Lepisosteus oculatus: one gene and its partner. The protein of the gene in region 1 purifies or fractionates together with the protein of each later gene. This does not show direct contact. Links are inferred from orthologs where the notes say so. Each region holds a gene or a part of one and is shown on either strand. Other genes may lie near its edges.

Region 1 (10,986 bases):
TTTGAGCAGCAGTGTCCTGACCAGAGCACACCTATCGCAGTTACTGACTGTCTCTCTGCCCACCTGTCTGCCTGAGAGTGCAGCTGGCCCGTTCACTTACACTATATCACCACAGTGACACTGGAGCACAAGAACACAGCAGGGGCAGAAGCAGGAGGAGACCATTCAACAGCTGCCAGTGTAAACACTCACTGCACCCTGTATCTGGAGTAAAAAATCACTATTCTCCACATGGTCACTCGCTGGCAGTGTTCAGTGAGTGTGCACGAGGTCTCACTAGTCACTCACTGGCAGTGTTCAGTGAGCGTGCAGAAGGCCTTCCCTCACCAGTCACTTGTTGGCAGTTTTCAGTGAGCATGCATGAGGCCTCACCAGTCACTCCCTGGTAGTGTTCGGTGAGCGTGCACAAGGCCTCATTCACCGGTCACTCGCGGGCAGTGTTCAGTGAGTGTGCATGAGGCCTCCCTCATTGGTCACTCGTAGGCAGTGTTCAGTGAGCGTGCACGAGGCCTCCCTTACCGGTATTCGCTGGCAGTGTTCAGTGAGCATGCACGAGGCTTCCCTAACAAGTCACTCGCTTGCAGTAATCAGTGACCGTGCACGAGGCCTCACTAGTCACTAGTCTACTACTCACTAGTCGGACAAGCAACCCAGTTCTCCTGTGTTCCGCAGCTCTGGCCCGCACGCTCACGGCTGAACTCGGCTCGGACGATCTCGGAGTGCTCGGAGGGGCGGGGCACGATGCCGGACACGGAGGCGGGCGAGGACGCCTCGCTGGGCGGCAGCCTGCGCCGGGGGCGCCGCCGGGAGGACAGCGCCTACCTCTCGCACCACGTCAGCCTGAGCGGCGCCGCCGAGGAAGAGGACCACTATGGATACGTCCTGCCGGGGTCGCTGGAGAGCCCAGAGAAAGGTGAGCCCCCAGACAGCGGTGTGAACCGGGAGTGTGTGTAGCTGACAGACTCACTACCCGGGTCTTGAATTAGTTTATTATTTGCTTAACGTTTTCTCAAGGGCTGAGTCTGGCCAATGGTGTCCTGGAGTAATAACTTACTAACTCCTGTTCTCTTCCTCTTCTTTTTTACTGTCCACAGCCAGCATCTTTTCTCTCTCACCCTCCCAAACTGGCACCCTGTCCAGAATGAGGGGTTCCCACAGTCGTGGCTCCCTGGGGACTCTGGGAGACCCTGACTCGGAGGAGTACGAGTACATGAACAAACAGACACGCCTGCTGCCTCTTGCCTCAGTGGCCAGTACCGCTGAGCCCCCACCAGAGGGCGCCAGAGACCAGAAACCGCACAGGAAGTCCCAGCCCAGCCCAGAGTGCAGTGCCAAGGATCTGCCACCTGGTGGAGACAGAGAGTCTGATGAGCTGCTGGATTGTAATGACCGGCAACCTCCTGCTGGTAGAGACAGAGTGCAGAAACGGAGAAGGCAGCTCTCCGTCAGCCCCGATCACAGCGGCGGCGAGTCACAGCAGGAAGGAGACGGAGGATCGGAACAGCAGCAGGAGCAGGAAGCAGTGGAGTACGAATACATGGACATCCGCAGCGAGGAGCTGGACTGTCGAAGCTCCAGGGACTGCGTAGGCAGGAAGGAGGACAGAGCTGCAGCTGCAGAAGACGGAGAGAAACGAGTGGAACCCGAGGAGGAGGCGGGGGGTGATAAAGAGGGAGGGGAGGACGAGCAGGAGGGAGACGCAGAGGAGGAGGAAGATTACCAGTACATGAACAAGCAGCCCAGGCTGAGGAAGGCCCTGCGGGGGGAGGCGGACGAGTACGAGCAGATGGACTCCTTGCCCCTGGTGGAGTACCAGAACCTGGCGGAGGGGGGCAGGAGGGGCCGGCCCGGGGAGCTGGGGGGCTTCGTGAAGGTGAGGGCCGGGGTGGGGGAGCCAGGCGCTGACCGCTCCTTCGACAACCCCGACTACTGGCACAGCAGGCTCTTCCTGAAGCCCGACGCCGTGCGCACCTAGCGGCCTGCAGAGCGGCACCAGAGAGGTCGTCCTCGCTCTGGGTCATGACCGGCCACCCCCCTGGTCCCACTCTGACTGGACCCCCCGATCATGCCTGTGGGGTGTCTGCATGTAGGGGGCGTGTCCAGGGTGTGTCTGGGGCGTGTCCGGGGTGTGTCTGGGGCGTGTCCAGGGTGGGTCTGGGGCATGTCCAGGGTGTGTCTGGGGCGTGTCCAGGGTGTGTCTGGGGCGTGTCCGGGGTGTGTCTGGGGCGTGTCCGGGGTGTGTCTGGGGCGTGTCCAGGGTGTGTCTGGGGCGTGTCCGGCTGTGTCTGGGGCGTGTCCAGGGTGTGTCTGGGGCGTGTCCGGTTGTGTCTGGGGCGTGTCCATGCTGTGTCTGGGGCGTGTCCATGGTGTGTCTGGGGTGTGTCTGGAGCATGTCTGGAGCGTGTCTGGGGTGTGTCTGGGCATGTCTGGGGCGTGTCCGGTGTACGCGGCAGTAGCCGTGCTGAGCCTGCGGTCTGTCCAAGCTCTGTGCGCCGCAACCCAATGAAGTGTATTTTTAAGAAGGGATGGGATGGTGTTCCTAATAAACTGGCCAGTTTGAGAGGTCTGTACTGTATGGATTCTCACATGAACAAAATGATATAGCTCTTCTTTATTTGTATTTCTATCTCTGTTGTACTGTAAAATAGACTGTATTTTTGAAATCCCATCTTTGTATTGAATAAGAGATTTAAAAAAGCAACATAAAGATGCATCTAATTTTGACTGTGTTTGATTTCTTAATGCTTACTAGTGTATCACTACTGCAGCTGCTGCCGCCACTGCCAGATTAGGCACCTCTCTCATGAATGCACAGCTGCTACTGGATCTGACACCTCTGTCCTACTGCAGCACAGATATCGCTGGCTGCTAACACCACCACTCTGGGTGTTCCCTCTGGCAGAGTTACAATCCTGCAGCTACTACCCCTACTTTTAAGCTCGGCTAGGCCGGCCCTGTTCAGTCCCAGGATGAGAGGCTTCTGATACAAGGACTGAATACAAGGATATGATAGAGTCTGCTAGATCCAGTTACTTCTCTCACATTACCATAACAGCCCCAGACACCTTTTCTCCACCATCAACAGACTGCTAAAGCCAGACTGCCCCACCACATTACCTGCCTCTTCCCAACTCTGCAACACATTTTTAGTTTTTTAGCTCCAAGATTGACAATGCCTGGCATCACACTCTCTCCACGGCGCATGTCACCTCCACACCTCCCCCCTGCTTGCCCAACTTCACTGGCTCCCTTCTCTCTAACTTCTCTCTACTTGACTCTCCCTGCTCACATTTGAAATCCACCACCTGCCTTTAGATCCCATCCCCACCACCTTATTTCAATCCTGTTTCAACACTGTTAACCATGATATCTTACTTTCTCGTCTTGACCTGTGTTTGGAGTTTCTGACTCTGCTCTTAATTTGTTTGAGTCTTACCTCACTGATCACTGTCACTTTGTCTATCTCGGCAGTTTTAGCTCTAAAATTGGTCTCATTGCATCTGGTGTTCCTCAGGGCTCGATACTGTGCCCCCTACTTTTCAGTATTTACATGTTCCCACTTGGTCAGTTTTTAGGATCGCACGGCCTCAACTATCATTTCTACGCTGACAATACTCAGATCTACGTCCATACCAAACCTCACACTGATGTGGCTGTCTCTGTTCTCTCTATTTGCATCTCTGACCTAAAAACATGAATGACTCCAAACTTCCTTCATTTAAACTGTGACAAGACGGACATCATTCTTATTGGCACCTCACAACAACTTTGTAAAGCCAGTGCTGTAACCCTATGTGTGGATGGCACTGTACTTGAACTTCAGTCTAAATTGAAAAACTCGGGGGTGATATTTGATTCAGGCTTGATGTTTGACCCACATGTGCAATATATTGCCAAAACATCATTCTTTCACCTCAGAAATGTCATCAAACTAGGTCCTATCTTATTGCTAACTGTTGCTGAAAAGCTGGTCAACATTTATCTTCTCCCAAATTGACTACTTTAATGTTCTGCTCGCTGGGGTTTCTAACTCACAAACTCCAGTATGTCTAAAATTGAAAATATACAATAAGATGAGATAGTAGTTGGGGCAGAGTCCAGGCCAGATCTTGTGCTAGTGATCACATTACTCCTATCCTGGAGTCCTTGCACTGGCTTCCTGTCAGGTTTGGTGTCGAGTTCAGAATCCCCATGCTCACCTATAAGGCTCTGCATGGTTTGGCACCTCAATACCTGTCTGAGCTACTGTCGTCCTACTCCCCACCTCACATCCTTCGCTCTTCTCATTCTTGCCTCCTATCTGTCCCCCAAACCAGTCTACACTCTATGGGTGACGGGGCCGTTTCCTGCTGCACCCCAAAGCTCTGGAATTCCATCCCCAAGGATATCAGAGAGTCACCTTCCCTAGACTCTTTCAAATCCAGACTCCAAACATTCTTCTTTAGAAGAGCCTTTACTTAACTGGTTCTGTTTTTTACCCCTCTTCTCCTGTTGTATTCTGTACCCCCATCTACTGTCTCCTCTCATTGTGTATTTTTATTGTGCATATCTTGTGTTTTTCTTTTGTTGTTGTCAATCTGCAAAGTGGTTTGAGAAGCCACAGGGTTTACTGCACTGTGAGCCAGACTCCCAGTGCACCTTTAAAGGTGCTATATAGAGTAAAGTTTGTATTATTATTATTATTATTATTATTATTATTATTATTATTATTATTATAAGGAAAGCCAGGTTACTGCAGCTGTTGCTACAGAACCCTAAATAGACAATACACACTAGCCGAATATCTAACCAAGATACATAACAGCAAACAGAAACAGACCCTGATGAAGTACAGGCTCAGTGACCACAGCCTGGCCATAGAAATTGGGCGACACAGGCAGACCCGGCTGCCCAGAGAGGACAGGCTGTGCTCCCACTGCCAGCGGGGAGAAACAGAGACAGAGGTGCAAGTCTTACTGCACCTGGACAAATATTCTGGGATTAGAGAAACATTCAGATTAGAGAAGGGAACTCAGTTGAACTGGCAGTCCAGTATGTGATCTTCTGTCACAGCCTGAGGAACAGTGAGTCTGTCTCCCAGTTATGCTCAATATGTCTATATGTAAACATTTTAGGATTGTGTCTTTATTGTAAATGTCTGTAGATTTTGGTTTTATGTTAATTGTATCTGTTTTGCTTTGGCAACACTGATTGTACTCATTGGTCATGCCAATAAAGCACCTTGAATTGAATTGAAATTGTGTGTTTCTTTCACTGTACGATAAAGCAGTGGGTCATATTCATCCATTGATTTTACTCAGCTTTTCACGGCGAGAGTCGTCGCAGTGGGGCACATTTTGAAACTAAAGGAAACTGACTTTATAATTCAATTCACGCAAACTCACACCGGAATGAAATACAATTCCCAGATTCCCAGGGGACAAGGCGCCACGAGCATGACGCATCTCATTCGTTTTCTTTTAAAAAAAAAGCAGACTGTAATACTAAGGCAGAACGAACGTATATCTGGGAAATGTAGTTTTTTCAATCCCACATTCATGTAGATGTTCCCGATGAGCGAGGTGAAAAAAGACTACAAGCAGGACCGTGATGCTGCGCCCCCTATTTTTTTTCTTTTTGGCGGTTGGGCCGGGCCTGGTGACGCGCGGTGGAGGCCGGGCCGGAGCCGCGGGGTCGAGCTGTCTGCCAGACTGAGCTCGCCGCCGACACACCGGGGAGAGAGAAGCGTTGGAGAGCCGCCGACGAAAGATGTCCGGAGACGACGAACAGCAAGAGCAGACCATCGCGGAGGACCTGGTGGTCACCAAGTACAAAATGGGAGGCGACATCGCCAACCGTAAGTTTCACAGAAATGGTTCAGCGGAGGGGAAAACACGGTTTGGGGTAGTTTCGTCTGCCTTTAAATGCCGATGTGACCGAAACAGCCGGCCTGCCTTGAGTCTAGTAGCGGCCATGTGCCTTAAAGAAGCGTGTGGAGAGACAGAGCGATTGCAGGGCCTGAAGCCGACGGAGGCTATAATCTCCCGTATTGGCTTTGCTTTTTTTTACCATATTGACAGGCGATTAAAACATTATGTTCAAACAAAACGGATATTCGCTTGCCGTTTGAAACTGCCGGTTGATATTCTTAGTTCACTCATGTAAAGCTCAGTACAGAGTAATTATTGGTCATCGCGGTAAAGAAAAATTAGAATAATCCGCTTTGTGGCTCATCGGTTGAAAATTTTAAGTTTTCTCCGTGCCCCATTCCGTGTTGTAACCACACACGCGCATCTGTTGTAGTAGCTCATTATGTTAACGTGTTGGATTTTTAAATGACCGGTCGATCCACTCGCTTGAGGACGGTGAGCGAAATCGTTTTATTTAAAAATACACGGGTCCGAGTAGGAAACGAGCCATTTATTTGCACAGAAGTGACAGGTGTACCGCCGCGTGTCTCTGTGACTCCCTCACGTGTCGAACTAGTCAGCACGAGGGGCTGGGGAGCCCCAGACCCGAGCTCTGTGGGGTACCCTTGTACCCCTGTACGATCCCGCCGCCGACCTCTGTGCTTAACCTGTGTGCTGGTTTACAAGCCGTCCGTTATGTCCTGGAGGCTGATATAGCGCCTTTCAAAGCGAGTCCCACAGTATACCATTATAATTTCTGTTTTTCCCAGCCCGGGTACCAGGAATTGCAATAATAACGTTGTTGGTTTTACCGGGGTGCGTTAAATGTGCATTTGTAGATCTTATGAATTCTGCAGACACTGGGTTATTCGATCAGATTGAACACTACCATAGAAATGCAACATGTTGACACTCCCAGTGCACAGCAGTGTGTTCCAGTGCAGGGTTTACTGCACTGTGAGCCAGACTCCCAGTGCACAGCAGTGTGTTCCAGTCCAGGGTTTACTGCATTGTCAGCCAGACTCCCAGTGCACAGCAGTGTGTTCCAGTCCAGGGTTTACTGCACTGTGAGCCAGACTACCAGTGCACAGCAGTGTGTTCCAGTCCAGGGTTTACTGCACTGTGAGCCAGACTCCCAGTGCACAGCAGTGTGTTCCAGTGCAGGGTTTACTGCACTGTGAGCCAGACTCCCAGTGCACAGCAGTGTGTTCCAGTCCAGGGTTTACTGCATTGTCAGCCAGACTCCCAGTGCACAGCAGTGTGTTCCAGTCCAGGGTTTATTGCATTGTCAGCCAGACTCCCAGTGCACAGCAGTGTGTTCCAGTCCAGGGTTTACTGCACTGTGAGCCAGACTCCCATTGCACAGCAGTGTGTTCCAGTCCAGGGTTTACTGCACTGTGAGCCAGACTCCCAGTGCACAGCAATGTGTTGCAGTCCAGGGTTTACTGCACTGTGAGCCAGACTCCCAGTGCACAGCAATGTGTTGCAGTCCAGGGTTTACTGCACTGTGAGCCAGACTCCCAGTGCACAGCAATGTGTTGCAGTCCAGGGTTTACTGCATTGTCAGCCAGACTCCCAGTGCACAGCAATGTGTTGCAGTCCAGGGTTTACTGCATTGTCAGCCAGACTCCCAGTGCACAGCAATGTGTTGCAGTCCAGGGTTTACTGCATTGTCAGCCAGACTCCCAGTGCACAGCAGTGTGTTCCAGTCCAGATTATGCCATTTTAAGATGTTTCAAATTATCAGAAAAATATGTAATTTTACTTCAACTAATTTGTCTGCATCAGTTACAGTCTAATTAATGAAACACCCAGCATGTGGGTGAATAAGAATCCACCTCCACTTCCAGGTCAGTCCCAGCAGAGTGCCAGACATGTCCTTCCAGGTGGAGCACTTGCGTTCAGATATGTTCTGGCTGTGTCTGCCCTGCGGGTGTTCAAGCACCTGTCTGATGCTGTGTCAGTAGTGCTGTTGTTGATGCCCTGTCCCGCTGTCGTCTCTCAGAGGCCCTCCGGAAGGTGGTGGAGGCAGCCAAGCCCGGGGTGTCTGTCCTGGCTCTCTGTGAGAAGGGGGACGCCCTCATCATGGAGGAGACTGGCAAGATCTTCAAGAAGGAGAAAGAGATGAAGAAAGGTGAGGGCGGCGGAGGGACGAGCGTGTCTGCCTCAGCTCACGAGGCGCTTCTTTACCCCGAGGGTGGTGGGTGCGTGGAACAAGCGTGAACTACAGAGCAGAATCTCTGGGATGGTTTAAGTGATGGCTGGGTGTACAGGTGGGGTTTTCTGTTCCTGTGGCATGACAGTAACCGCCTCTCCTCTCTCTTTAGGCATTGCCTTCCCCACCAGTGTGTCCGTCAATAACTGTGTCTGCCACTTCTCCCCACTGAAGAGCGACCCTGACTATACGCTGAAGGAGGGAGACCTGGTCAAGATGTGAGTCTGCATCTCTCCTGCTTTGTGCTCTGGTTTGTGTGCGTGTGTGTGCGCGGGCCCAGTGGTTGTGTTGTGTGGGCGCAAGCATGTGTGTGCGCGCAGGGCCCAGAGGTTGTGTGGTGTGTGTGCGGGCCCAGTGGTTGTGTTGTGTGGGCGCATGCGCGCGCGCGTGTGTGTGTGCGTGGGCCCAGTGGTTGTGTTGTGTATGGGGCCCAGAGGCTGTGTTGTGTGGGCATGCACGCACGTGTGTGTGTGGGGGGCCCAGATGTTGTGCAATGTGGGAGCGTGTGTGTGTGAGCCCAGTGGTTGTGTAGTGTGTGTGGGCGTGGGCCCAGTGGTTGTGTAGTGTGGAAGCGTGTGTGTATGTGTGTGAGCCCAGTGGTTGTGCAGTGTGGGAGCGTGTGTGTGCGGGGCCCAGAGGTTGTGTAGTGTGTGTGTGCGGGGCCCAGAGGTTGTGTTGCTTGTGCCTGAGTGCTTGTGCCTGAGAGTCTGTCAGAGCGCTACATGACCCCTAACGCTTCCTTGCCTGTTGCTCTCCTGTCCCCAGTGACCTGGGTGTCCATGTTGACGGCTTCATTGCCAACGTGGCTCACAGCTTCGTCGTGGGAGCGACTAAGGTGGGTCTCTCGCCCCCCGTGTCTGTGCCCAGTCCGTCTCTGCTCCGTCTGTTTCACTGACGCTCCCTCTCGTCCCTCTCTCGTCCGGCCCCTCTGCAGGAGGCCCCAGTGACGGGGCGCAAGGCTGACGTCATCAAAGCGGCCCATCTGTGCGCTGAGGCTGCGCTGCGTCTCGTCAAGCCCGGCAACCAGGTAGGTGTGCCGACTGCCCCGGGCCGCAGGCAGTTCTGGGGTTCTGAAGTGAGCAAAAGAAATCGTTCTTATTGACATTTTCTCCGAGTTCCTCATGTGCTGATTCCCTCTCTTTCCCAGAACACTCAGGTGACAGAGGCCTGGAACAAGATTGCACAGTCCTTCAAATGCACGGCCATCGAGGGTGAGTGTGACCCACCTGGGGCACCCTGGAGAGACGAGCTGAAGTTGCTAATTCTGCACCGGAAGTGTCTCAGAACCCCCCCACCCCTCTCCCCGACAGTGCCCCACGCTGCTCATCTGCCCTGTGCCAGGGGGCCTTTCGCACGCTTCCCAGGACCAGCAGGCAGTGCGGCTGGTCACTGCTGTGTCTGTTTCAGCGGCAGGTCTCCTGGGAGCTTGGTCGTTTTCTGATTTTTCCCCTCTTGATCCTCCTCGCAGGGATGCTGTCTCACCAGCTGAAGCAGCACGTTATTGATGGAGAGAAGACCATCATTCAGAACCCTTCAGATCAGCAGAGGTGAGCCCTGGTCAGCTGCTTTTCTGGTCGTACCGAAGCATCTTCTCTGTTAAATGACGTGTGATGGCATAGTGCTTTCAACTGAGTGCCTTACCCTCTCAGAAGTGTGTAACTCTGAAACGTCCCCCCACCAACCCCACTTCCTGCCACGCTGGCTGGACGAGGACACTGACGCGCTGTGCCCGTGTTGTGATTGGCTGTGTTGCGTGTCCGTCCGCAGGAAGGATCATGAGAAGGCGGAGTTCGAGGTGCACGAGGTGTACGCTGTGGACGTGCTGATCAGCACCGGAGAGGGGAAGGTAGGGTATATGGTCTTTTTCCTTTTGCTCTGATACCTGCATTTCATTCTTTAATTGCATGGTTGAAAACAAATGACATGTACAGTGATGATTCGGCCAGTAGCCTTGTAGCATTGAAATCTAAACGGGAGAAAAAATGAATAATACAGCAGGAACGTAAGCAGTCTTTCTCACTTGGCTGTAAGGCGTCCCTGTCTGTCTCGCCGCTGACCTCAGTCTTGCTGTCTGACTCTGTTACAGGCGAGGGACGCTGGCCAGAGGACCACCATTTACAAGCGGGACCCAACCAAGCAGTACGGGCTGAAGATGAAGACCTCGCGCGTGTTCTTCAGCGAGGTGGAGAGGCGTTTCGACGGCATGCCCTTCACTCTCCGGTAGTGCCACACGGGGGGCGTGGGGTGGGCTGGGCCGGGCTGGAGGACCCCAAAAACAGGCCCCCACTTACTGAGCTGGGAGTGATCTGAGCTCTCCTCTCTGTCCTCCTTTCATTCCTCGCTTTTCTGGTCTCTTTCACGGTTCCTCCCTGCTGCTCACATGCCCCCTCAACAGGGAGCCCCTAATGTTGGCAGAACTGATTACAGCACAGCCACAGACAAGAGCAGACAGCAGGTAGTGAGCAGGACCCATGTGAGACTGAGCAATCTGCAGGACATCAGAGAAATAAAGAACAGTCCAGTCTGCTGATTGACCGCGAGGAGGGAATCTGACCGCTCCCTTCGCTGTCCTCTGATCTCTCTCTCTCTCTCTCAGGGCATTTGAGGACGAGGGGAAGGCGCGGCTGGGCGTGGTGGAGTGCGCCAAACACGAGCTGCTGCAGCCCTTCAACGTGCTGTACGAGAAGGAAGGTCAGTGTGCGCCGCTCATGCGGCCCAGCATCCCCACGCTGAGCCCGTCTCAGACTGGCGGGCTCTGGTCTGGTTCCCTCAGATGTCTGTTTCTAAGAGAGTCCAGATGCGCGACTGTATGGCCTCTCCTCCTTCCATGAAGCCGGATGATGCTGACTTCCTGCCTCCCTCTCTCCCAGGGGAGAACGTGGC
Region 2 (10,695 bases), on another chromosome or scaffold:
TAAGTAGTTCTCAGCTTTACGTTCACGCAATTTCTACCTGTGTCCTCTTGTTCATGTTTCAGTGTTAATTCTAAAGAAGTCTACTACATTAACCTTATCAGTGATAATAACAAACCCCTCAAGGTCCCCTCATAGTCTTTAACATAATATCTCGATTTAAATTCTACACTTGACTACATACTAACGTTTTGTTTTCGATTGATTCCCTACATTGCCTAGAAGATACCACTGATGCATCAACAGAAACATGGAAGTCTTTAAGAAGTACAGTAGCAAATTCTCAATCCAAACACATAGATTTCCCCGAGAGCCTCATGCCTTTGAGAAATTATCTTTTACAAAAGCCTTCTGACAATCTAAATACATGCATATCCAGTACAGCTATGGTGTGTTCAAGGATATCCAACAGGTTGGTTAGGAAAGATCTACCTTGTTTAAATGTGGACTAACCCCTAGAACATTATTTCCACATAGATTATTCACTGGTTTAGCTCTAATGATTGTTTTCTAAACCTTACCTGTGACAGAAGTTAGACTTTGTGATCTACAATTACTTGGGTCAGTTATGTCATCCTTCGTACGCATGGGTACTGCATCTGTAAATCTCCAGTCCATGGGCACTACCCTGTCCTGAGCTGACAGCTCTGTACATTTGGTGTAAAGGCTTCTGGTGGTATTTGTGACAGACCTGTGAGCAGGATGTGTGAGAGGATTTTGACTTAAAAAACAACAGACATATGCATGGAGTCATAGGCAAAAAAGGTTTAAAAAATCAGTCACCTTTTATTTGCAGACTAAGAAACTCGAAAAAAAAAACACACATGCAAAAAACTCAGTTCTTCTTTGAGGTCCATCTACACTTCCTTTTTTTTCCACCAACACTGTTCCAAACAATTCTTCTCATAACTCAAAGTTCCCCAAACCCTCTACCTTACACTAGATCTCTCTCTGAAATTATTCGCAAAACTCCTCATCCTTCAGCTGCTTCTTTGATCCCCTCTCCCTCTCTCTCCGATCCACCATATCTCAGAGGCTCTTCTTCCCTCATGTACAGCACAAGGTGACAGCCATCCCAGAAGTCTCAGCTGCCTGGTTTAAAATGTCACCTAACCAATGGTCATCCAGGCATTGGTCAGGTGACTGAGGACAGCAGGTGACTCCCCATAGCTTCTTGGGACGTTGTAGTTTAACAAGATCTTCTTCTCTCTTATACATTTTATACATTTTGCCCCTTGAGCAAAGGTACTCTGATCCCAGGTGTACAAAACAAATATGGAGTTAGTAATTTCCCGGCAAACAGAGTGGCTACACTACAAGGAGTTGTTCTGAAGCATGCAGGTAGTGGAGTGGGTTCAGTGCATGCTTTTAAATCTCTGAGAGCTTTTTTTATTTTGGATGTCCATCATGGCACCAACATAAAAACCAGCAATGTCAAGGCCTGGTTACATTTGTTCCAGGTAGCATTAATGTTTAAATCTGTTCTTGCTAATTCACCCTAACTTGTTACATCAGTTCATGTCCAGACCAGAGGTCATTGGAAATTCGGGTCTCATCTTAATTTTCAGACCATTTTAGGAAGGACACTTGTTATTAAAAATATGAATGTAGCATAGAAAAGACATCTTTATAACTGTATGTAAATGTAGAGCAGGAAACTTGAATAAATTTCGTTATTAAGAAAAATCCTGCTGCAAACAGGATGCACCCTTTGAGACAATAATTTTCTCAAATACACTAGATTGAACTGAAACTTATACATTGAAATACAGTTATTTGAAGAACCCGACAAATACTGCGAAGGTAAGGATCATGGGGCGCTAAACTAGTGTAGCTTGTGAAACACTGCTGCCCTCTTGTGGTATTAAGCTGTAATAGACGTGCAATTAGTCTCTAAAGAACAGCAACGGAAACACTACCTCTCATATTGTTCTTGGAAGAAATCACAATAATACAAACAGGATATCTTTCCAAACCTTTTTGAGACAAATAAAAAAGTTTGTAATCTTCAAGACAACATTTCATAATGTCTGGATAATTTCCCCACAACAAAGTTTTGGGTATATAAGCTGATGCCAGCAGCCATACCACCCTGCAACTCAAACTGGCAACCCCCTGAAGCTCAGCAGGTGTGAGCCTGGTCAGTACCTGGATGTGAGACCTCCTGGGAAAAACTAAGGTTGCTGCTGGAAGAGGTGTTAGTGGGGCCAGCAGGGGGCGCTCACCCTGCAGTCCACGTGGGTCCTAATGCCCCAGTATAGTGACAGGGACACTATACTGTAAACAGGCCCCGTCCATTGGATGAGATGTAAAACTGAGGTGCTGACTCTCTGTGGTCATTAAAAATCCCAGGGCGTTTCTCGAAAAGAGTAGGGGTGTAACCCTGATGTCCTGGCCAAATTTCCCATTGGCCCTTACCAATAATCCCCCTCTATGAATTGGCTCCTCCCCACTGACAGCATCATCCAGGTGGGGACTACACATTGGTGGTGGTGGAGGGGAGTCCCCATTACCTGTAAAGTGCTTTGAGTGGAGTGCCCAGAAAAGAACTATATAAGTGTAAGCAATTATTATTAGATTTTTTAAACTCTAATAATTTTTAGGTTTTTGTGTTTAGTTGATATGAAAAGCTCATAAAAACAATTAAATAATTTCACCGCAGAGCAAGTTGGATCTATCTCTCTCACCACGTACAACCTGATGTATTTGTTTGATATGTCCAGTGGATGTTTAAATGTGCTGCTTTAATGGAAACTGTCCATGCATCTAGATGCAAAGAGCTAAATACACGATTAACTCAATTTTCACTTTAAAAACAAAAAGTGCCTGGAAATATACTGTATCCCAACAGAATGGATTAGTTTAAATGTACTTTCACAAAAAGTTCTTACTTGAACTTCAGTCTAAATTGAAAATCTTGGGGGTGATATGTGATTCAGGCTTGACATTTGACCCACATGTGCAATATATTGTCAAAACATCCTTCTTTTTCCTCTAAAATATCACCAGACTACATCCTATGTTATCACTTACTGTAGCTGAAAAGCTGATCAACACGTTTGTCTTCTCCTGAATTGACTACTGTAATGCTCTACTCGCTGGGGTTTCTAAATCCACATTGACCAGGTCCAATGACTCCTATCCTGGAGTCCTTGCACTGGCTTCCTGTCAAGTTTCGAGTCGACATCAAAATACTCATGCTCACCTGTAAGGCTCTGCATGGCTTGGTACCTCAGTACCTGTCTGAGCTATTATCGCCCTACTCCCCACCTCGCAACCTTCACTCTTCTAATTCTGGTCTCCTAACTGTCCCCCAAGCCCGTCTACACTCTATGGGTGACAGGGCCTTCTCCTGTTCTAACCCCAAGCTCTAGAATTCTATCCCCAAGAATATGAGAGTCACCTTCTCTAAACTCCTTCAAATCCAAACTCAAAACGTTCTTCTTTAGAAGTGCCTTTACTTTACTTAACTGTTTCTGTTCTTTACCCCTCTGCTCCTACTGTATTCAATATCCACCATCTACTGGCTCCTCTCATTGTGCATTTCTTGTGTACTTTTTATTGTTGTTGTCGTTCTGAAAAGCGGTTTGAGAAGTCATCTTTAAAGGCGCTATATAAAATAGTTTTTTATTAAAAAAATAAACAGTCGTCAATTAGCGCCACCTGGTGGTCTCTTGAGAGATGTTAAATTTGCTTCTAACCGTTGAGCCCAGTACATCAGACCAAGCTCATTGAGCAGAATTACATACATTACTCCAACATAGTACCGCAACCGTTGGAGGAATCTGAAGACCACCTAGACATAATCAAACACCAAATTCTTCGTACAGGATTAATATAAACAAAACGCCATGATTTAATAATGATACACTATTTAACCTTAAAATAAGCGAAAGCGGCTTCTCAACCAGGAATTCACAGCGTGACTCTCCTTTGAAGGAGAAGGTGACAACTAAAAATCCTTGCTGACTAACACTTCCTACATAACAGCCGCTGGGTTATTTCTCCCCCGCAGATAGCGATTCAGGCATTTAGGACTGGGGAGGTTTACCAATAGCGCAAGGTTTGTACACCTCTACACCGTTTCCTCGCCACATTCAAATCGTCCAACCAAATCTCGCTCTTTCAAGGTCCCGCGAACGTCATGACGAAGATATCAAACTCTCGCGATATTTCATGTCAAGGCTTTTGGTAGGGAGTTTCGATATCCCTTCTTATATTACACGTTTTCACACCCGGAAAGGTAACAGGGCAGCCATATTGCTGCGGTATGATTTCGCTTAGAGAGTTACAGTAGGTAACATGACCAAAACGCTGATGGCCTTACATTATGCATTATATATTCAGTCAAAAGCAGTAAATGCAAACAAGTTCATTTTGTACGTCTGAACATTTGACATTGGTTTTACACATTACCGTCACTAAAGTGCCTGCCTAACGTTATGTAGCTTGTGCTATCCCTCTTGTGGGTCTTACCCAGGTACAATTAAGCTAAATGTAAATCGAGGACCGTGAGCATTTCAATTTGTATCTAAGCTGATATTCTGTTTACGTCAATACTTTTCCAAATCTTCAAAATGCATCTGTCCAAACGTCACCTTTAGATACTATTTACTTTTAATGTATTAATTTCTACTACATTTTTTTATCGACCTTATCTTTTATTCTCCCAAGTATACCTTACACGTGTTCTAATCCATTAAGTGGACCTACTGTTCCGGTTATCATTTCGATTGTTTGAATTTAAGTACATTGGTAATTCAAGAACCATTAGCGATTTAAACGAAGGGCCTTTCTTCGGGGTGTAACAGCAGCGTAAACCAAGGATTTGAAACCAGAACTCTCAAATCCACAGCGATCATTACCGCCAGCAATTTCTGCCCTGTTGCAGTCATTTTTACACACAAAAAGACGTGGTCACAATGACAGATGATGGAGGTCCAGTTATTTTGACTTGGTGATTTAATGTAGGACTGTGAGAAACTTTTTTTTCCCCTCAAAATTCAGATTTTCGTGTTACCAAGACCACATAAATTACCCGATCGATCTGTAGCTATCCATGACTCAAAACTCTCTGCTCATATATATTCTTCTTGTATTTCATGCATTGATTCATTTGTGTATATAAAAGTGGGTATTGTTTTATTTAGCAGATCACCGTGCACGTTAATTCGATTCTACATTACAAGGCTAAACTGTATTCTATAAGACTGTCTTATATTTATCGTCATTATTTTTTGACGTTAGACCTTAAGGTAGATATAAAAATAACAAGGAGAATGCCCTGAATCTCGGTGAGCATCCCCTCCTCGTGTTGAATGAGTTTTTTTTTTCCTGGAAGAAAAACAACTGAATAGTAATATCGTGAAACTATATAATTCATGTGCATTAAATTGTAACCACTGTATTTTAATTTTTCGCCCTCCTTCTTCCATTACCCCGCATTAAAACTCGTTGTTTTCCAATACCAGACATTTCACAAAATCAAAACATTTCAATCACTTTAGAACATTTCACTAATACAATACCTTCGGGAAAAGAAAACTTTACAAGCCGTACTGTACTTCTGAAGCTCAAGGCTCCCTGTTTTGTGCAGCCATGCTACCCTCTGTCCGTGATCGATTTAAAATGGGTGTATTTTGAAACACGTGGTGGCCAAACACTAGAAGCACATGGGACGCCACTGTTTCACTCCCATTGGGTGTCTGTAAATGGGATTTGCTTGCGGGTGGATATTATGTATTTACTGAAAAGAATAGCCGTTCCTATGTATGTTACACTTTGCGTTTTTACTTTGTGTTTTTGAAGTATCACTAAAAACTTGTTAGAGCTCATGTGCACTTTAAAGTCACATGGGTGGCCGGCACTTTAGGTTTAATGGGCTGTGAACGGAACTCGAGATACCGGTACAATCCACCGAGAAGTCCAGTACACAAAAAAAGTTAATATTTTAACAGGTTTTATCGTATTTAAATTGGAAGTTTTTTTCTCATTCATAGTTTCAACTAAATGCCAAATGGTTCGATGAAATTGAAGCTTAAAAATATGTTTCTTTATTTAAAAAAAACAAACAAATTATATCAATCCAGACACGAGTATACACCTATACAAATTTCACACTAAAAATACATATTACGAATACTGTGCAGTACTAACTAAATCCACTCTCGTCTCTTCAGGGCTCGGACAAGCGCGTTCACGAAAACCCCAGAAGCCGAGCGCGATGCAAATTCCTGCGACCCGATTGGCCAAGAAATAACACGTGGGCGTGGAAGGTGGAACGCGCACAACAGTAAAGCACCTCGCGCTTCTTCCTGCGAGTCCGTCTTTCTCGTCTCAGCGCCTCACCGAAGAGCAGGGTTAGGCCACGTGTGGAGCAGTGATTAAAACTTGCATTAGCTTTTTCGTTTTCCCGATCGATCTTAGTCGAGTAAACAACCCCGCAGACAGTCAAGATGGTGAAACTGGCGAAGGTAAGATGTGATTTTCATCGCCGATTTCAAAATATAAAGTTCGAGGCGATGGGTTTGATGTACAAAATGGCACTGGAGATGTGAGATTTTGTTCCTTTCGGTTTGCCTTGCCCGAGCATTTTTTTGCAGCGGATGAATGTTTTTTTTTATGATTATGCGGGTGCAGTCGTGTTTTGGGGGTAACGTAGGGGGTTATTAGTTTCCGGATGAAAGACGGAGCACAATGGAAGTGCGTTTTGGTGCCTGTTCAAGCCGACCCAGATTTCGAGTAATCAGCCATGTTTTTCTGCGTGGTGAACTCTTGTTTCTCAAAATGGCCATGCCTGCGCATTCGCCTGCGAGCGCGGAAGCTGTTTTTTTGGTTTATCGCCTTACTTGATTACATTTGGGTCTTGTTTGAAGCAGTAACTCCTCTTAAATGTAAAATATAACTCCTAGCAGCGTGAGCGCTTTGCAATTTTGGTAAAAAAAGGAACTTTCCAATTTGGTTGCGCTTTTATATTATGATGTGGGGAAAGAAACAGACGACTGTTTCTTAATTGCTTTATTTCTGGTAATGATTAGAACCGTGATCGTGCTATATGTAGTTTTTCCATTTATGTTTATTTCGGGTTTGTATTAGCTGGATATAGTTACATATGACTAGGCCTCGCGGAGCACCACGTGGGTTTTCAGCGTGGAGCCATCACGCAGTCACCACGACGTGTGTCCGTCGAGCGGTTTAGACATTAGTAGTTGGACATTGCAGGCTGTGTGCTGAACATTACCTTTTTTATTTTTAACTATTTTGAGAAATTTAGATTCTAAACATGCTAGCAAAATAGTGTCTTAGAGAGGGAGCACGCTGTGGAGGGGACATGGCGGCGGTGGTTTGTACTACACAAGCGTAGTTTTTTTTTTCCGGTGACCCGACCATTTTCCGTATACAAGTACACAATTATTTCGATGTACAAACGGTTACAATATTTTTTGACACCCCAAGGCGATAAACAGTTTTTTTGCGGCCTATGAATAAACAGCGGATACCCCGCTGGGTAGTCATGCTTCATATGAAGTGGGTTTTTTTTTCTTATTTTAGGCAGCGAAAAAACCGACAACTACCCCTAAGAAAAAGGCCCCACCGCCCCCTAAAGACGTGGACTCCAATGAAGAAGAGGACAGCAGTGAAGAGGAAAACGAAGAGGTAAGAGCGACAGAGACTCGCCGCAACACGTGGGCTGAGGGTCGCGCTGTGTCAGCGTGGAGCCAAACCGGAGGTCGTGTCCTACACGTGCTTGTGCGATTCGGGCCCTCTTGTTTTGGAGTTGGTGGTTTCGCTGGAAGGTGTAAGGTCTCTTTGGACAGTGACCCGTGTCCTAAAACGGGGTTCGACTGGGAAACCCAATACCGGTTTAACAAAGGGCATTTCTTTGTGCAGAAAGGGGAATCATGTTTTTTTTTTTTCCTTTCGGCTTCAGGTACCTCCCCCAAAAGCCAGCGCCAAGAAGGCAGCCACGCCAGCTAAAGTAACGAAAGCCGCCAAAAATGGCAAAGTGGCACAGAAGCAGGAAAGTGATGAAGACGATGGTAAGTGATGAAACGCGTCTGGGAGCCTTCATCTTTCACTCCATGCATGTTATAGGGTGAAGTGGAAGTGCAAAGATCTGGACAGAGGCTGTTGCATTTGTTGTCAACCACCAGGTTTCTAAAAATGGTGTCAACCATGTCGGAAATAACCAAAAGCCAGTGTTTGGCAGGATTTAGTTCTTAACCTACAAGATGCTAGCTGCAGTGAGTGTTAATTAAGGAATTGGAAATGCCCAAATCTTAAATCAGCATTTAGATGCCAGCAATACACTTATCACTATTATACGAAGCGTAGTTAATATTTTGAAGTGTTGTGTGGAGTATAAAGATGGTTCCACTCAGTTGTTCCTTCTTTGTAGAGGCTTAGGAAGCTGATATACTTGCCTTTGTTGAGCCAGAAGGACAATATATTTTGAACCCCACTGCTCTGAGGTTTGCATTGGGGGGGAGGTATTCCCTTTTAGTTCAAAATGTTTTTTTTTTCTGAACGGGGGAATTTCAGCTGTGATATTCCCCTGTATTTGGTCCTGAGTACAGTATGCTGGATTAACTCTTGCGTAATGTGATGCTCTTCAGAGGAAGATGCCCCCCCAGTCCCCGCCAAGGGCAAGGCCGCCAAGGGCAAGGCGGCGCCCCTGAAAAAAGCCGCCAAAGCTAAGAAACAGGAATCGGAGGAGGAGGATGACGATGGTATGATCAGTCACGGTGACTTTCTAGCTGTCAATAACATCCCAGCAATAGTCTTAAGAGGGCAAGGGTGGCTCGCCAGTGTTTGGCAAGGAGCTGGGGAGAGGAAGTTAGATCTCTGGGTTCATGGTTTTAGATCCTGGATGGAGCACTGCTGTTGGACCCTTCGGTAGAGATGAGCAATATAAATGTTGTCCAGGTGGCATTTGTCCCCAGGAAGGGCCTTTTTGGGCTGGTTGCTGGCTAGGCCTCCACCCCTCTTCAGACCTTGACTTGGGGCTCGCTGACATCCCTGCCGGGGCCCTGATCTTAAACCTGCTCGGGCCGGTCCGAAGCCCGGGAGACTCCTAACCTGTTCTGTTGTCGCAGATGACGAGTCGGAGGAAGAAGCCCCCCCACCCAAGAAGGCCACCCCAGCAAAAGCCACCCCTGCCAAAAAGGCCGCCCCCGCCAAGAAGCAGGAGTCCGAGGAGGAGGAGGACGATGATGAAGATGGTGAGTGACGGTGCAGTGATTCAGGGAGGGGGTTTAATAGCCTGGGGTGGTCTTGAGTTTCCAAGGCACTTGAGTGTGTAGGGAAAAATGGCCTCTTCCCTCCCCGCCTGCAGATCTTTTTAAGCTACTTAATTGATTTACTTAATTAAAATCTTCTTGGGTCCTGTTTTATTTGGCGGTGGTTCAGTTAGCTTAGCGCTCTGCTGGAGTCAAAACAGGAGGGTGGGATCGTGGATATGCAGAAACCCGGTAGGCTTACCATATCCTGAAGGTGCTGCCAATACAGAGGTGTGCCTTCAATGCACAATGCAGTTGTTATAATCACATTGTGTATTTTAGAACCTCCCTAGTTCAGAGGGAGTGAAACAGAGGGCAGTGAAACAGTTTGGTGCTTTCTGGTGATCACAGATGTACCCTAGTTGTCACTCGTCAGAAAGCTATACTTTTAGGAACATTAAGTTCTTGAATCCTTGTATCTGGTCCGAAGCCCGGGAGACTCTTAACCTGTTCTGTTGTCACAGATGACGAGTCGGAGGAAGAAGCCCCCCCGCCCAAGAAGGCCACCCCAGCAAAAGCCACCCCTGCCAAAAAGGCCGCCCCCGCCAAGAAGCAGGAGTCCGAGGAAGAGGATGAAGATGGTGAGTGGTCTTGTGGGAATTGCATAGGTGGAGGACAGTTCAATGCTATTGAAAAGCTTTGTGCATGCAGAAAAATTGCTTGTGATTTTTTTTTAATGAACCTGTTGAAAGCAGTTTTAGGACAAATGTGCAAACTCAATATTTAAAGGAATAATGGCTAAGGTTTGAGTTTTCCCCAGATATGATGTTCCTGGCTCTCCGGCGGGTTTGTGCTTTCTGTGTTGATTAAATATGCAAGTCTGAGTTTAAGAGAAGAAGGCTCTGACCTTTTTGTTCCCCTGGTGCAGATGAAGAATCTGAGGAAGAGGCCCCTCCACCCAAAAAGGCCACTCAGGCAAAGTCTACCCCTGCAAAAAAGACCGCCCTAGCCAAGAAGGAAGAGTCAGAGGAGGAGGATGATGAAGAAGATGATGAAGAAGATGGTGAGGGTTGTTTTGTTACATTTCAGAGCTGAAGGACAGTCTTACCTAGAAACTTCAGGCTTTATCGGATGTATAAGTTGTCACGACAATGCAGGGCTTCTTACGTATTTGTTGCAAGGTCTGCAGATGTTGAGCTATGTTAAACTGTTTGCCAGCGGTATGTGTTTAAGATTATACAAAGGGTTGCAACCAGATTATGCAAGTTGGAATTGCAGCAAGCACATATGATGAGCATTAAGGGACTTAATACTGAGTTGAGTACTTGATGTCTTTTTTTCCATACTGATGTGCTTGAAAATATGCAATTGGGTGGTATTTCTAGAGATCTCCCGTCAAACCAGACATTTAAGCTCCTGACAGTGGAATTTAAAGTAGTGTGATGATTGGTATGGGCTTGGTGCGAGGCTGGGGAGAGTG

The links.
Region 2: the proteins of proliferation-associated protein 2G4 (region 1) and ncl purify together in Homo sapiens (affinity purification with mass spectrometry; 3 studies listed by BioGRID and IntAct, with this or other methods). This does not show direct contact. The link is inferred for Lepisosteus oculatus from reciprocal best matches to the Homo sapiens genes PA2G4 and NCL.

Annotation. Positions count from the first base shown.
Region 1 is NC_090696.1:14,665,093-14,676,078, forward strand, and holds the start of proliferation-associated protein 2G4, read left to right. Parts: upstream 1-5,629; 5' UTR 5,630-5,748; coding exon 5,749-5,836; intron 5,837-7,893; coding exon 7,894-8,022; intron 8,023-8,215; coding exon 8,216-8,321; intron 8,322-8,868; coding exon 8,869-8,938; intron 8,939-9,037; coding exon 9,038-9,130; intron 9,131-9,250; coding exon 9,251-9,314; intron 9,315-9,571; coding exon 9,572-9,650; intron 9,651-9,870; coding exon 9,871-9,949; intron 9,950-10,189; coding exon 10,190-10,323; intron 10,324-10,699; coding exon 10,700-10,794; intron 10,795-10,973; coding exon 10,974-10,986. Other genes in the region: receptor tyrosine-protein kinase erbB-3, read left to right, coding at 673-913, 1,095-1,975. UniProt on the Homo sapiens protein: May play a role in a ERBB3-regulated signal transduction pathway. Seems be involved in growth regulation. Acts a corepressor of the androgen receptor (AR) and is regulated by the ERBB3 ligand neuregulin-1/heregulin (HRG).
Region 2 is NC_090708.1:8,864,963-8,875,657, forward strand, and holds the start of ncl (nucleolin), read left to right. Parts: upstream 1-6,304; 5' UTR 6,305-6,452; coding exon 6,453-6,470; intron 6,471-7,548; coding exon 7,549-7,653; intron 7,654-7,927; coding exon 7,928-8,036; intron 8,037-8,612; coding exon 8,613-8,726; intron 8,727-9,092; coding exon 9,093-9,218; intron 9,219-9,739; coding exon 9,740-9,856; intron 9,857-10,143; coding exon 10,144-10,278; intron 10,279-10,495; exon of another isoform or gene 10,496-10,569; intron 10,570-10,695. UniProt on the Homo sapiens protein: Nucleolin is the major nucleolar protein of growing eukaryotic cells. It is found associated with intranucleolar chromatin and pre-ribosomal particles. It induces chromatin decondensation by binding to histone H1.